2 linked regions of the Callithrix jacchus genome follow. The protein of the gene in region 1 interacts with the protein of each later gene in a biochemical or structural test. Links are inferred from orthologs where the notes say so. Each region holds a gene or a part of one and is shown in the gene's direction. Other genes may lie near its edges. The genes, in order: DCN and TGFB1.

Region 1 (4,404 bases):
TCTAATTCATTTTCTATATGTGGATAGCAATTGTCCCAATGCCATTTGTGGGAAACAATATTATTTCTCCAAGGAATTGTCTTGTTTCTTTGTTGAAAATCACTTGACCACAAATGTAAGAGTTTATTTCTGGACTTTCAATTTTATTACACTTATCTATATGTTTAGTCACATGACAGTATTGTACCTTTCAATTATTGTAGCCTTACGTCAAGTTTTGAAATTAGAAAGTGTAGGTCCTGGCCGAGGGCAGTGGCTCATGCCTATAATCCCAGCACTTTGGGAGGCTGAGACGGGTGGATCACTAGGTCAGGAGTTCAAGACCAGCCTGACCAACATGGTGAAACCTCATCTCTACTAAAAATACAAAAATTAGCTGGGCATGGTGACACACGCCTGTAATCCCAGGTACTCAGGAGGCTGAGACAGGAGAATTGTCTGAATCTGGGAGGCGGAGGTTGCAGAGAGCCAAGATCGTGCCAGCCTAGGTGACAGAGTGAGACTTCGTCTAAAAAAAAAAAAAAAAAAAAGGGAAATGTAGGTTCTCCAAATTTGTTTTGTTTTGTTTTCAAAGTTATTTTGGCTATTCTGGTTCTTTTGCATTCCATATAAACTTTAGGATTAACTTGTTCATTTCTGGAAGAATATTCTTGTAGGGCTTTGATTGTTTTGAATCTATAGATAATGACTATATTAACATTAAGCCTTCCAATACACGAGGATTATTTATATCTTCTTTTCTTATTCTCAACAGGTTTTGTCATCTTTAGCATATATGTCTTGCAATTCTTTTACTACATTCATTTTTTTCATTCTTTTTGATGCTGTTTTGAATGATTAATTTTTTTACTGGTGTGCTGCTAATGTACAAAAGTATAATTGATGTTTATGTATTGAGCTATCCTAGTACTATGCTAAATTTGTTTTTAGTTATAGTGATTTTTGTGAGTTCCTTTGGATATTCTATATTCAGGATATATTATTTACAAATAGCTTTAATTATTTTATTTGGATTCTTTAAGTACACCACTCTGCCCCCAACCCACCCATTACATTGGCTGACATCTCCAGTGCAATGTTGAATGGAGGTAATGAAATTAGACATCTTTGCCTTATTTGCTAGTTTAGGAGGAGGAAGCATTCATTGTACCATTAGTTATGATGCTAGCTATAGGTCTTCTATAGATGCTTTTTATCAAGTTGAAGAAGTTCCCTTCTGTTTCAGGCTTACCAAAAACACTTATTATGAATGTTGTTGTTTTTTCTTACATGTTTTTCCTGCATCTATTGAGATAATCATGTGAGTTTTGGCCTTTATATTTTTGATATACTGTATTACATTGATTGATTTTCACATGTTAAACTAATTTTACAACCCTGAGATAAATCATGTTTGGTCTCATAGTATATGATCGTTTTACATGTTGTGAAATGTAGCTTCCTAATATTTTGTTAAAGATTTTTTTTGTCCCTATGCATAAGAGATATTTGATTACAGTTTTCTCTTCTTATGATGAATTTTGTCTGGCTTTAGTCTTAGAAAATATTGATCCCATAGAATGAGTTTCGAATCTACTTTTATTTTCTTTACACAGGCTAATACTTATGTCTTGATATTTTCTTCTCTTGTTTTCAATGTTAGCCATAAGTGCTCACCAAACACCCCTTCCTTTACTTGCTGGAACATAGAGGATAGTAAGTGACAACAAGAAACTCAAAATTTGAGACTCATAAACCATGCATATAAGTGTTGCTTTCACTTGAATATTCCTTGTTTCTGTTTTTATATGACATCTACTAGTTTGCTTTTAAACCCTTACAGAAACAAAGTCATTTTAACCAGCACATAAATGTGAATGTCCTAGGAGGTAGAGCAATGTTTCAAGTTATTTTTAAGGGAGTACTTCATAGGTTTTATAGCTCACTTTAGACCTTGTTGTCTTAGTGTTATATTCTAACCTAGCTTGTATGATTTTGGATTCGTTGCTTCAGAATTCATATCCTCAGAGTGGAAGTGTAAACTTATTTCTAACATTCTTTGTATAAGTCTGATATTTAGTGACCCTAAGAAAATCTATGGACAAATTACCATTATCTTAAACATGATTGTAAAACATAATTCAGAAAAAAATTATGATTTATTATATAGCACTATATTCATTGAGTAAAATGTATTACATAAAATCCACATTTGTTAAAACTTCTAGGTTTAACAAATTTATTCTAAATGCTGTGATATTTAAATATTTAAGTACTTTTTGGAGTTTGTGATTATTTCAATTCCAGTACTTTATACCCGCTTTTTCTTTTTCACTACATAGCACTTTCTCATTCTGTATAATTTTGTTAAAAGGTTTATATATTTTTACCCTGAAACCATAATGTTTCATGTAGGCCCAATATAGTTATGTAGACCTGGTATATGAAATAACATTTATTCATTCAACATGTATTTATTGAACACCTGCTCTGTTGTAGTACTGGAAATGCAGCCATAAACAAGCAGAACCATTCCTATCTCATGGAGCCTTTACTTTAGAGGAGAGAAACAAACAATAGCAAATACGCATAATATGCTACATATTGATAATGCTATGAAGAAAAATGAAGAAATTTAATATAATTCTGCCCCAGAGAATGGCAGAATGGGGTGGTCAAGGAGGGTATCTCTGGTAAGAAAAAGTGAATTACATGAGGCAGCAAGCTTTGACGATGCTTTAGAGATCATTCTAGGTTGAGTAAATGCTGTTGATAACTTAAGAAGAGATCATGCTTTGTGCGTTAGAAGAGCAGCAAGTAGACCAGATGATTGGCTTGTACAGTAAAGGAAGAGGTCAGAGTAAAAGGATATTAGATCATGTAGGATGTGTAGGCCCCTGTAAGAACTTTGGATTTTATTATTCTGCATAACACAAAAAATAGGCGGGCATGGTGACATGAGCTTGTAGTCCCAGCTACTCAGGAGACTGAGACAGGAGAATAGCTTGAACTTTGGAGGCAGAGGCTGCAATGCACTGGGGTCACACCACTGCATTCCAGCCTGGGTGACAGAGCAAGACTTTGTTTCAAAAAAAAAAAAAAAAAGTGAAGGATAAAAAATATTAAAAAGAATAAACTATTCAGCTGAAGGGCCTCAACATTTAGAGAATAACAATTATTGTTTTATGTTGCAGGTTGTCTACCTTCATAACAACAATATCTCTGTAGTTGGATCAAGTGACTTCTGCCCACCTGGACACAACACCAAAAAGGCTTCTTATTCGGGTGTGAGTCTTTTCAGCAACCCGGTCCAGTACTGGGAGATACAGCCATCTACCTTCAGATGTGTCTACGTGCGCTCTGCCATTCAGCTCGGAAACTATAAGTAATTCTCAAGAAAGCCCCCAATTTTATAACCTGGCAAAATCTTGTTAATGTCATTGCTAAAAAACAAATAAAAGCTAGATACTGGAAACCTAACTGCAATGTGGATATTTTACCCACATGACTTATTATGCATAAAGCCAAATTTCCAGTTTAAGTAATTGCCTAAAATAAAAAGAAATTTTGCCTGCCATTTTCAGAATCATCCTTTGAAGCTTTCTGTTGATGTTAACTAAGCTACTAGAGATATTCTTATTTCACTTAATGTAAAATTTGGAGTAAATATATATGTCTATATTTAGTAAAGCTTTTCTTTTTTAATTTCCAGGAAAAAATAAAAAGAGTATCTTCTGTAAATCATTGAGCAGTTAGCTCCTTTGAGATAAAGTCAAATGTCAATCACTAGCTCTGTATTAACCCCCATTATTACTGGTAAAGCCTCATTTGAATGTGTGAATTCAATACAGGCTGTGTAAAATTTTTGCTACTGTCATTATTTTGAAAAAATAAATTTAAAAATACATTCAAAATTGCTATTGTATACAAGCTTAATTGTAAACATTCCCTAAACACAATTTTATGAAGGGAGCAGACATTGTTTGTTGACAATAACAGTACATCTTTTCAAGTTCTTAAGCATTTCTTCTACCTCTCCCTGTCTTTCATTTGAGTATGGTCATCTGTTTAATGTAAGCTTAAAAGCACAAAGCATACATTTCCTGATTGGTCTAGAGAACTGATATTTCAATTTATTCTTCTGCTAAATAAATATTAAAACTATCATGTGTACTTCATGTAATCAGGCTGCACATTTCTACAATTACTAGATACATTAGACATAATTATTTTCTTTAGTTAAACACCCAATGTTAGAAGTGTTTTCTGTAGAATTTAGCAATAGCTATCAATGCATACAATTTAACAAGCCTGGGGATGATTTACTTAGAGTAAACATTTATCAAATTGTACATTTATGATATCAATGATTAATAAGCAAATATGTGAAAATAGTTTTCTATGAAGTTGAATGTTTGACAGTTA
Region 2 (3,819 bases), on another chromosome or scaffold:
AAGAGCGAAACTCCATCCCCCCCCCCAAAAAAAAGCTGTGTAGGTTGGGTGCGGTGGCTAACGCCTATAATCCCAGCACTTTGGGAGGCTGAGGCTAGCAGATCACCTGAGGTCAGGAGTTCCAGACCAGTCTGGCTAACATGGTGAAACCTCATCTCTACTAAAAGTACAAAAAATTAGCTAGGCATGGTGTCGTGTGCCTGTAATCCCAGTTACTTGGGAGACTGAGGCAGGAGAATTGCTTGAACCTGGGAGGCAGAGGTTGTAGTGAGCCGAGATCGTGCCACAGCACTCCAGCCTGGGCAACAGAGCCAGACTCTGTCTCAAAAAAAAAAAAAAAATTAGTCTTGCATGGTGGCACAGGCCTGGCTACTTGGGAGGCTGAGGTGGGAGGATTGCTTGGGCCTGGGAGGTTGAGGCTGCAAGACCTTGTCTCAAATAAATAAATAAATAAATGAAGCAAGAGAGCTGCAGAGAGGACAGAGCAGGGTGGGCAGGGGAGGCAGGAAGGAACCCCCTGGGGTTTGCTCCTTCGTTCCTCTTCCTCCAGGGACTGGGTGAGCTACACCCACAGACTGGCTTCCCTCTTCCCACTGCTACAGGGGAAATTGAAGGCTTTCGCCTTAGCGCCCACTGCTCCTGTGACAGCCAAGTTAACACACTGCAAGTGGACATCAACGGTAAGACCCACTTCCCTGGCCATGCCCAGCTGTGATCTGTGTGCATGTGTGTGTCCTCATCTGCCCCACGCCCCACCCGTCTGTCCCTCTGAGATGTCTGTATATGTCCCCTATCCTCTGACTCCCACACCAAAGCAGGATTCTCTACTGGCCGCCGAGGTGACCTGGCCACCATTCACGGCATGAACCGGCCTTTCCTGCTTCTCATGGCCACGCCGCTGGAGAGAGCCCAGCATCTGCAAAGCTCCCGGCACCGCAGAGCCCTGGACACCAACTACTGCTTCAGGTGAACCTTGCAGCCTGGATAGAGGCCTTCTAGGCTGCGGGCATGACTGCCATCTGCTGACCTGGTGCTCCAGGTTGGACACCTGGCTGATGCTGTGCTTGGGCTGAGCGTCTTTCTCCTAAAGGGAGGGCTAGAGCTGAAGCTTGAAGGGCTTAGGGGATGGGGTCTAGGGTGTAAGAACCGGGAGTCTTTTGCCGGGCTTTGGGAGGCTGTAATCCCAACACTTTGGGAGGCCGAGACAGGCGGATCACCTGAGGTGGGGAGTTTGAGACCAGCCTGGACAACATGGTGAAACCCCGTCTCTACTAAAATACAGAAATTAGCCAGGCATGGTGGCGGGCGCTTGTAATCCCAGTTACTTGGGAGGCTGAGGCAGGAGAATCACTTGAATCTGGGAGGCAGAGGTTGCAGTGAGCCGAGATCGCACCACCGCACTCCAGCCTGGGCGACAGAGTGGGGACTGTCTCAAAAAACAAAAAACAAACAAATAGTTGGAGTCTTGGAATGTTGGGATCAGGTTGCTTTCTTGCTGGAGTGTTGGAATCACAGAACCTTAGGAAGCTGAACTCTGAGAATGGTGGAATAAAGTTGGAAGGTCACCATCTTGGATCCCTAATTTGTTAGTAGGTTGAGGGTCTAGAATGCTAGAACTTGGTGTTAATTACTGAAATGGAGAATGTTGGACTGAAGGAAAGATGAAACACTGGGATCCTATAATTTGGGGGTGCAGAATGAGAAGATGGCCCATGTGGAATTCCTACACCATTCCTCATGTGCATCCCAGTGTGGGCAGACTGGAATCTTTGAATATTGGGCTCACATTGGTAGAATTCTGTTTTAAAATATTCACACCCACAAATGTAGGAGCTGGAGAAAGCCAGAATATTGGTATTCCAGCATGCTGTGACTCAGTGCTGGAATGTTAGAATCTTAGAATGCTGGGAATTTATGAATAGAAAGTGGCAGCAGGCCGGGTGGCTCATGCCTGTAATCCCAGCACTTTCGGAGGCCAAGGTGGGCAGATCACCTGAGGTCAGGAGTTCAAGACCACCCCTGGCCAACATGGTGAACTCCCATCTCTATTAAAAATACAGAAATTAGCCGGGCATGGTGGTGGGTACCTATAATCTTAGCTACTCAGCTGGAATTACAGCTACCCAGGTACTCAGGCTAAGGTAGGAGAATCGCTTGAACCTGAGAGGCAGAGGTTTCACTGAGCTGAGATTGCGCCACCTCAAAAAAAAAAAAAAAAAAGGAAAGGCCGGGTGTGGTGGCTCAAGCCTGTAGTCCCAGCACTTTGGGAGGCCGAGGTGGGTGGTGGATCACGAGGTCGGCAGATCGAGACCATCCTGGTCAACATGGTGAAACCCCGTCTCTACTAAAAACTACAAAAAATTAGCTGGGCACGGTGGCGTGTGCCTGTATTCCCAGCTACTCAGGAGCCTGAGGCAGGAGAATTGCCTGAACCCAGGAGGCGGAGGTTGCGGTGAGCCAAGATCGCGCCATTGCACTCCAGCCTGGGTAACAAGAGAGAAACTCCATCTCAAAAAAAAAAAAAAAAAAAAAAAAGGAAAGTGTTAGCTTGATCCTCTTGAGTGATGGGCTCGGAACTGTGGAATGTCGGGATGCGGTACTGGCATACTGGAAGTCAGGAATGCCAAGATCCTCAAAGTTTGGAAAGTAGGAATCCTGGAGAGTTGAAAATGCTGTCAGCATGTTAGCATCGGAAGATGCTGGAATACTAACCGTGCACTCTAAGAAAGCTGAAATGTTGGATTCCTAGAAAGTTGAAACGGAGAGTTAGAATGTGGTAAAATGGAAGTGATCATCTGACCTCATTCCTCCCCTGCTTAAAATACTTTGGTGGTGTCTTGGGCTTTGTCACCTGCTTTTCCTCTGCCGGAAAATCAGCCCTGCTCCCAGACTCCTTCCCTATCAGATTTTAGCGCCATCAGCCCAGCAACCCTGTGAAGGAGCAAACTGAGGTCTCGAGTGCCAACAGCAGCTGACATGACATAGGAGCCAGCCAGCCATGTGAGCCTCCGTAGGGTGGACACAACGTTGCCTAGGAAGTCTTGCCAAAAAGTGAAACCTGAAGGCCGGGTGCGGCGGCTCATGCCCGTAATCCCAGCACTTTGGGAGGCTGAGGCAGGCAGATCGCTTGAGCTCAGGAGTTCCAGGAGTTCCAAGCCAGCCTGTGCAACATGGTAAAACCCTGTCTCTCCACAAAAAATACCAAAAAACTAGCTGGGCTGGGTGGTGTGTGCCTGTAGTCCCAGCTACTTGGGAGGCTGAGGCAGGAGTGCTTGAGCCCAGGAGGTTGTGGCTGCAGTGAGCTGGGATCACACCATTGCACTTCAGAACAGAGCGAGACCCTGTCTATGAAAAAAAAAGGCAACTCCGATCAGGACTGTAGATCCCAACAGTTTTATAGAAAGACAGGAACAGAGGAAATGTTAAGCAACAGGGTTTCACCAGCCTCAGCCTCCCAAAATGCTGGGATTATAGGCATGAGCCACCACTCCCGGCCTATGTCCTGTATTTTTGGTGTTTTTTTTTTTTTTTTTTTTTGAGAAGTTTCACTCTTGTCACCCAGTCTGGAGTGCAATGGCAAAATCTCGGCTCACTGCAGCCTCTGCCTCCCGTGTTCAAGCAATTCTCCTGCCTCAGCCTCATAAGTAGCTGGGATTACAGGCACACACTACCACACCTGGCTAATTTTTGTATTCTTAGTAGAGATGGGGTTTCACCATGTTGGCCAGGCTGATCCTGAACTCCTAACCTCAGGTGATCTGATTGCCTCAGCCTCACAAAGTGCTGGAATTACAGGCATGAGCCACCACTCCTGGCCTA

Evidence for each region.
Region 2: the proteins of DCN (region 1) and TGFB1 form a complex in vitro, tested with the Homo sapiens proteins (3 studies listed by BioGRID). The link is inferred for Callithrix jacchus from reciprocal best matches to the Homo sapiens genes DCN and TGFB1.

Annotation. Positions count from the first base shown.
Region 1 is NC_133510.1:89,998,055-90,002,458, forward strand, and holds the end of DCN (decorin), read left to right. Parts: intron 1-3,173; coding exon 3,174-3,368; 3' UTR 3,369-3,893; downstream 3,894-4,404. UniProt on the Homo sapiens protein: May affect the rate of fibrils formation.
Region 2 is NC_133523.1:36,619,957-36,623,775, reverse strand, and holds part of TGFB1 (transforming growth factor beta-1 proprotein), read left to right. Parts: intron 1-602; coding exon 603-680; intron 681-815; coding exon 816-966; intron 967-3,819. UniProt on the Homo sapiens protein: Transforming growth factor beta-1 proprotein: Precursor of the Latency-associated peptide (LAP) and Transforming growth factor beta-1 (TGF-beta-1) chains, which constitute the regulatory and active subunit of TGF-beta-1, respectively.